2 linked regions of the Mus musculus genome follow. The protein of the gene in region 2 binds, or shares a complex with, the protein of the main gene of each other region. Links are inferred from orthologs where the notes say so. Each region holds a gene or a part of one and is shown on either strand. Other genes may lie near its edges.

What was found. The genes of interacting proteins can lie anywhere in the genome.
Region 1: the proteins of Pex14 (region 2) and Pex5 are in contact, whole or in part, in an NMR structure (PDB 4BXU), measured with the Homo sapiens proteins. The link is inferred for Mus musculus from reciprocal best matches to the Homo sapiens genes PEX14 and PEX5. Residues at the interface, in NP_004556.1 of Homo sapiens: Thr31, Phe35, Asn38, Arg40, Val41, Ser44, Pro45, Thr48, Arg49, Phe52, Lys55, Lys56; in NP_001124497.1 of Homo sapiens: Glu59, Leu62, Val63, Glu65, Phe66, Leu67, Gln70.

What each region holds. Positions count from the first base shown.
Region 1 is NC_000072.6:124,412,632-124,416,374, reverse strand, and holds the start of Pex5 (peroxisomal targeting signal 1 receptor), read left to right. Parts: upstream 1-1,307; 5' UTR 1,308-1,402; intron 1,403-1,493; exon of another isoform or gene 1,494-1,608; intron 1,609-1,924; 5' UTR 1,925-1,941; coding exon 1,942-2,088; intron 2,089-2,332; coding exon 2,333-2,368; intron 2,369-2,673; coding exon 2,674-2,806; intron 2,807-2,974; coding exon 2,975-3,106; intron 3,107-3,743.
Region 2 is NC_000070.6:148,967,324-148,970,966, reverse strand, and holds part of Pex14 (peroxisomal membrane protein PEX14), read left to right. Parts: exon of another isoform or gene 1-331; coding exon 332-417; exon of another isoform or gene 418-3,340; coding exon 3,341-3,443; exon of another isoform or gene 3,444-3,643. UniProt on the Homo sapiens protein: Component of the PEX13-PEX14 docking complex, a translocon channel that specifically mediates the import of peroxisomal cargo proteins bound to PEX5 receptor.

The sequences.
Region 1 (3,743 bases), on a different chromosome or scaffold from region 2:
AACCATCATATGCTTTCCTTAAACACTGCTTTCTCCAGAGATTCTCCTGTTTTAACATATTCATCTTCCAAGATGGCATCCTTTCCTCCTTGGTGTGGTTTAGTTTATTCGTTGCTAGGTGTTTTTTTCTTTACAATGGCAGCCTGGAAACAGTGGACAGGGATGAAATTTGTGGTCAAGGAGAATGGGTGTATGTGTGTGTGTTAGGGCCTCTGAAAGATACTGACAGTGTACTAAAGACAGAAACATTGCACAATATTCTGCCTTGTTCAACCACTGCAGTTATAAGGGCAATTTCTATTTTCCCAGGGACGAATTTACACTGCCTGTGTTCCCTGAGGAAGGCTACCTTTGAAATCATCAGGGCAGCAAAGAACCAAGCCTGCCCCAGGGCGCCACCTACAGACTACCTGCTTCTCCCGCACCCCGGGTTGGGACGTACGTCAGGCCTTTCTAGAACCAGTTTCCTCCTAGCCCACCTACCAGCACTCTGAACCCCTCCCCTTCTCAGGACGTCAAGGAGTCCGTCGGTCTTGGACCTAGGTGAGCTATCAAGGTTTGCTTTCCAGTGTGACCTTGAGGTCTGGCACCCGAGCCATTTCTCTGGCAGATGGTGGAGCCTGAGGCTTAGGTTCATATTCCCTGATCAAAGGTATTCCTTGCCACGTTTCCCCAACTTGGAGCTGCAGGGAATCAGGCCATCGTGACCTTGACCAGTAGGAAAGAGGAGAGAGGAGTGACTCACAGCACTCTCCCCATCCATTACAGGATTGAGGTCTCAAAATGCGTTGGACCCTATTTTAGTCACCAGAATTTGTCATCATCCGGAGCTATTTTCTTCATTACGCAGAGATGGTAGAGGCAGGCCCCTGTCTCCTTGGAGGCTGTGACGCTGTCCTGAAGGAGCGTCTGTTGGAAGGGGGGTCAGGCCTAGGAGGCCGAAGCAGGTCATAGATTTGACCTCCGAAATCTCCCGGGCTCAGTTTGGGCGATTTAGAGGTGCAGGAGAACCAGGAAAGAGAGCTGAACCGTGGAACCTGAAACCTTGGTTTTTCTCCAAAGCCAGAGAGGCCTCTTCTAGCTCCAGTCCTCTGAGTTTTCCACTAATAAATCCTGGCGTTCTAGGGACTACTGCAGGTTTCCCCAATCCAACTGTCCAGGACTGTCTCCTTTAAGGATCTCGGCTCCGCCCATCACGCTGCGCAAGCTTGAGGCCCCGCCCCTTTACCCGTTTCCGTTGAGCTGGGCCGCAGCGCCGCCGTCCCGGCCCCTTTAAGGCCGAGTCCCGCCCCCTTGCTCCCGCCCCCTCCCTTCCCCCAGCCCACTCCGGGTGCCTCGGCCGGTCGGACGGTGCGGCCCGCGACGGCGAGCATTGGAGCCTGGGGGCGCGGGGTCGAGGCCCGTAAGTCCCCGCCGCTGCGGTGGCCTCGTGGGACGGGGTCGAGGCTGGGGCGACGGGGCTGGGGGCGCGGGGCGCTGGGCGGGGACGGGCGCGGCCGGGGAGGGGGCTCAGGTGACACGAGCTGGGATCGGGACCCGCAGCTGGCGCCTGACCGGGGGTGTGGGTCCCGGTGTACGGTGGAAGGCGTCCCCGCTGTCCCTCGTCAGGTTAGAGTTCGGGTCTAGCCGTGTTTATGATGCGCTCCCCGTGCTCCCCAGGGGTCCAGGCCCTTTTGTAGAGCTGCTGTTGGCGGGTGGTGTCTGAGCTGCCGTCCGCTGGAGGGGAAGCCCGAGCCGAAAGCAGCGTTTCGAGTGGGAAGGCAGGACACAGCCTCCTCTTGGACTCCAGACACACCTCGGGGGGTGGCCCCGGGGGCCTGGCCCTTGTGGAGCCGTCGTGGGCCCATCTGCTCTAGATAGGGCCTGAGGCGTGCGTTGGGAAAGTCTGGCTTCCCGACCACAGTTCTAATCTTCTGTCCATCAGGGAAGCTGCTGGTCACCATGGCAATGCGGGAGCTGGTGGAGGGCGAATGTGGGGGTGCCAACCCGCTGATGAAGCTGGCCACCCATTTCACCCAGGACAAGGCCCTTCGGCAGGAGGGACTGAGGCCTGGCCCCTGGCCTCCGGGAGCCTCAGCAGCAGAGACCGTGAGTGTTCTAGGAGAGCCTATTTCTTCCACCTGACAGCTGCTTTCTCTGTGTTAAAGTAATAGCAGTCACCATTCAGTAACACTGGAGTGAGCCTTGTGCGGCTTTACACAGACAAGGACTACTATTTTATAGACAAAGAAGCTGAGGCTTTGTGAAGGCTCTTGACTTGCCTCAGGCCACCTAAGCAGTAGAGTTAGAGTTGGGTTGTAGCCTGCTATTGTCTCTTTCCTTCTTATCTTAGGTTTCCAAGCCTTTGGGAGTAGGAACTGAAGACGAGGTAAACAGAGCAAGTTTCTTTTCTGTCTTTTTTTTTTTTTGGGGGGGGGGGTTGTGGTGATTTTTTTTTTTTTTTAAATCAGTCCACTCATACTTCAGTCTTTGAACTCTCTTTACCAAATGAGATTGCCTGCCAATGTTTTCGTCTACTTTTTGGGGTATTTTTCTGGTTTCCAAATTTACAGATAGATTTTTTTTTTTCTTTATTTATCTCCAGTTTTCGTTTCTCTGTCCAACATCAGTGGGCCCTGCCTCTGGCTGAGGCCCTCTGATCCTAATGTTCATCCGACCATCTCTCTGTAATAGTTGGTGTCAGAATTCCTGCAGGACCAGAATGCAACTCTTGTATCCCGAGCCCCTCAGACCTTCAAGATGGATGACCTCCTGGCAGAGATGCAGGAGATTGAACAGTCAAACTTTCGCCAGGCTCCTCAGAGAGGTGGGTTCAGGGCCTGGTAAGACGGGAAGAGGCCAGAGGGCTTCCATCCTTGGGTTTTGCTGGCATCGGGGGACTGAGATGCTGAGGAGAAAAAGGAGGTGTTGCCCATGAGTGAGTGTGAAGGAACCTGTTTTCTTTTTTTCTTAGTCTTCTCTTGTCTCTTTTAAGCCCCTGGTGTGGCAGATTTGGCCTTGTCTGAGAATTGGGCCCAGGAGTTTCTTGCAGCTGGAGATGCTGTGGATGTAGCTCAAGATTATAATGAGACCGACTGGTCCCAAGAATTCATCGCCGAAGTTACAGGTGAGGCTTGTGGGGACATCTGTAGTAGTTGTTAGGGAGCATTTACATGTCCTGTGTTGCTGGGCGTCCTGATTCCTCTTGGGATGGAAGGTGATTTTCGCTACTAATGACTTTTCTAGTTTCTTGATTCATTTCTGTAGGATGTTAAATGTGACTTCTTATAACAATTGTAGGTAATCAAAACATAATAAAGAGAAAAGTGGGTTTGGTTGGAAAAAAAAGAGAGGGGGTGGAGAGGGAGAGAGAGAATATGAATGAGAGATTAGATCTGCCTCTTTATCAGTAACTTGACTGCTTAAGTCTAGTGGAGAGGAGCTAGAGATTGGATGGGTAGCCCAGGAAGAGAGCAGTATTCATCTCGGCACCTAGGACTCTGGCAATTCAACCATCTTGAGTAGGACTGGGGTCTGAGAAAATTGATTGTGGAGTTCAGAACCCTGAAGTCTGGCTAGGCTGCCTGTATATATATTGGCTTTTCATTTGTAGATTGAACAAACTGTGGATAGAAAATGGAAAATGTATGTCTGCACTAAACGTATACATGCTCTTTGAGTTTTTAGACAGGATCTCTGTAGTCCAGACTGTCCTCCAAATTCCAGTGTAACTGAGATCTTCCTGCCCTCGCCTCCTGAATGTT
Region 2 (3,643 bases):
TGCGCACACTAACCGGCCTCTAGAATGATCCTGTTCCTTGATCTCATGAGGCCAGGCCAAAGGTCCTTCTGTCCCCTCTGCCTTCTGACCTCCATGGCTGGGCACTAGGCTCACAGCTGGATACCTCTTCCCAGCATCTCACGGTCAGATCACTTCCATCTCAAGTGAGGCAGACAGTTCTGGGACCTTGGAAAGAAGAGAGGGCAGAGCCGAGCCCTGATGTTCTGATGGTCACGTGCTTTCTGCAGCTGTGTGTCTCACTGGCCTGTCCGCTGCGACACTCCTGGGCAGAGACCTGTTCTAGTTTCTTCTTCCTTCCTTTCTACCCCAGGCCCCAGAGGCTCCCGATGGCGAGATTATGGTGCCTTGGCTATCATCATGGCAGGAATTGCATTTGGCTTTCACCAACTCTACAAGGTAAGTGGCCTCTCAGGGCCACCATGTTATGCCCTGCCACCCTTTGGTATTCCTCCCTCCTCCCTCCTCTGTCCTCCCTCCTGGCCCCTGGCTTATTATGTACACAGGCATTCAGAGCACAGCGGCTGTGGTGGAAGCAGGGAGCACAGCAGGAGAGACATGAATGCACACAGCACTGCTGCTTCACCTCGCCACCCTGACTCCCACCCGCAGTATGACCTGATGGCCGGCTGGCTCAAGTATTTAGAGCAGTGCCTGGCACCACTGAGAAACATGCAGATTGCAGAAGCAGAGCGATTTAGTCGTTACGGGCTTGCACATCAGAGCCTAGCTATATGTGTTGAACCTGACTCTGTCCCAGAGTACAGCTCCATCCATAAGATGTTCCTGAGACAGATAGTCCGACTTTGCAGTGTTGTGAAAGTGTGCCTGCCCATATCAGTCGGTACTGTGAGTACGATACTCAGAAAAGGAACAGAGGCAGTGAGCACCAACAGAGGCTTTGATTTTAATGGGTTTGCCCAGCTGCTCCAGCAATAGTCTGAGCACACTGAAGGCAGAGCGGGAGCACAGGTCAGGAGTATGAGTGCATCTTCTCCATGTGATGGCTTCCAGCATCTGCAGAACTGGCCTCAGGGTTTCAGGGAAGGCCAGGAGTCAGTCCTGGAATAGTGCTGGAGCAGTGTTGGCTCCCTGCCTGCTGGCACGTGGGAAGCCCCATAGATGCCCTTGTTCCACCCTGGTATTTACAACTGGCTCAGGAAGCACACTTCTTGTTTTCTGTGGACTGTGGTAGCATCTGTATAAATGTGGGAGTTTCCCTGGGCCTTTTGAGTCAGCGAGCCCTCAAGAGCTCGTAGCTCACGATGCTCACAGCAGAACTAAAGGCACTGAACCAACATTTCCTCCCAATACCAGTGGAAAGGCCTGTCCTTGCTTTGGAGAAACTAATCTACAAGATGCACAGCCTGGATGGCCCCACATTTAGGCCTGCTTACCCTGGAGAGAAGTCATGTTCTCCACTGACGCCTCCCACTAATCCAGCCTGCATTTAGTGACTGTTTTTCTTTTCTTTTCTTTTTCTCTTTTTTCTTCTTTAAAGGACTCTACTGAATTCCCAGGCTTGCAGTGTATCTTTGAGCACATGAAATGTATTTAAACCTTGTTTAAACCTTAGATTCTTAGTTTTTTACTTCCTACAATAGCTAATGACAGAGTTGTGGCAGAATGTAACTCTTCAGGATAGTGCCTGATGCCAAAATAAGAAATGCCTGTGCAGGAATTCAGAAGCAAATTGTTGTCAGGCCTGGAACTCCCCCCTGAGCGTCTGTGGAGCCTGTGTGGGGCAGCCTTTCTTAGCCCACTAGCTGCAGACAGGTACCAGCAGAGTTCACAAGTACCAGGGTCCTGTGAGCAGCTCACAAGTGTCTCATCACAGTGGCAACCCCACAGAACAGGAGGTGTGGCACCTTGGTTCAGATATGACAGAGATTGTCATCTGTTTCCATGGAGCTCTGGCCACCAGCCTGTGTTTTACAAAGAAAGGAAACATTGAAATGTTGGTCACAATGGTGTCGTGTCTTCAGCATGTTAGTAGTATTCTTTAAGTATAGAAAAGTGGAGCTGTCTTGCTTTGCACAAACACAGACTTAGCCAGATCAGCGGCAACACTTCCCGCTCACGGGCTCTGGCCTCAGGGATGGGGGTCGCTGGTTATACAGCTGAGAATTTCTTGACTTTTATACTTTGGAAGCGTCAGGCTGCAGTTGATGAGTTTCGCTCAGTTGTGGGTAATAACTCACATTGTGGCTGCAAAGCACTTTGCGAAATAGAAACTGCTTCTGTGCATGTGCTAAATGACAAGCTCACTCTGAGTCTCTCCTGAAATGAGTTCTCCCACAAACCCCTGAGAGACCTGCTTCTCTTCCCTAGCACAGAGCCAACCGGCAGTGGAGAACAGTCCCTCTTTGACCTGTCTGGGACCCTACGTTCCCTCTGGGCAGCACCTGCCAGGCTCCTGTGGTTAGCTGAGTAGTGTGCTCTAGGGTTGGAGTGGACTGTGCCCCCTCGACTGGGGACCTAACAACTCTACCTCAGCCCTTGTTGTACATCAGCGTCCCAAGCCCTACAGGTGTGCCCTCGCCTTCCTAATGATGGAGAGGCTGGTTCCAGGACCCTTGTTTGGTGGCTTTGCAGTCACCAGCTTTGGCTTTCTGTGTCCCTTTCCCTCGGCCCCACCTTTGGGTTCTGGGAGGATATAGGCTGTCCTGGCTCTCTTTGTGAAGTGCGCACCTCCTGCTGTAGGGTGCTTTCCCTGTGCATGCCTTACCCTACCATGGAAGATGAACGATCCCGGGCGTCTGTTGATTTTCCTCTGGTTTCTCCAGTAATGCTGTGTTTACTCAAACCTAATACTGTTTCTGGATCGCTGAGGCGGTTTGTTTCCTTCGCAGAGTTGAAGTGTGAAAGATTCAGAAAGGGTGCGGTGAGAAGCTGCCTAGCTCTCCTCCCCAGGAGCCACCATAGGGTCCGTTTCTGGAACATCTTTCTGCAGTCTCTGCTTAGAACTTTTGAAATAGAATCTAAAAGCCTCACAGGAATGTGAGGTATCTAAGGGAAGTAAGAGAAAGTAATAAGGCCTCCCTCACACAGGGAGGACTTCCCAAGGCTGGGGAGTTAGCTCAGAGACGCTGCTTGCCCCCAGCCCCACCTGGAGGCTCACTTCCTTCTGGTCTTGGTCCCTGTTCAGGTGGAAGTTCTTACCAGGCCGGGATCTCAGGCTTGTAACTTTTTCAAGCACTTTGTTTCTAGTGTGGAGAGTGCAGCTCTTCTGTGGGGTAACCTGCAGAAGATGAGGGCAAGCAGGGAGGTGGGATCTGAGAGACCGGTGTTGGCCACCTCCTCACCTGACCACTTCTTGCAGAGGTACCTGCTGCCCCTCATCCTGGGAGGCCGAGAGGACAGAAAGCAGCTGGAGAGGATGGCAGCGAGTCTCTCGGAACTGAGTGGCACCGTGGCCCAGACAGGTAAAGATTAATGACTCCATCAAGTCACCCCTCAAAGCGTCCTAACGCAGCCCCTTCTCGGCCCCTCCCTCTCCCTCGTCTCCACTCTGTGGTGACTTCATTTATCTGCTCTGAGAATCTGTTCACATTTGCAAATGAAGCCGCCGTCATTTCGGTTTAATTTGAAATTGCTTGTTTACTGTCGGCGCGGCCTCAATTAA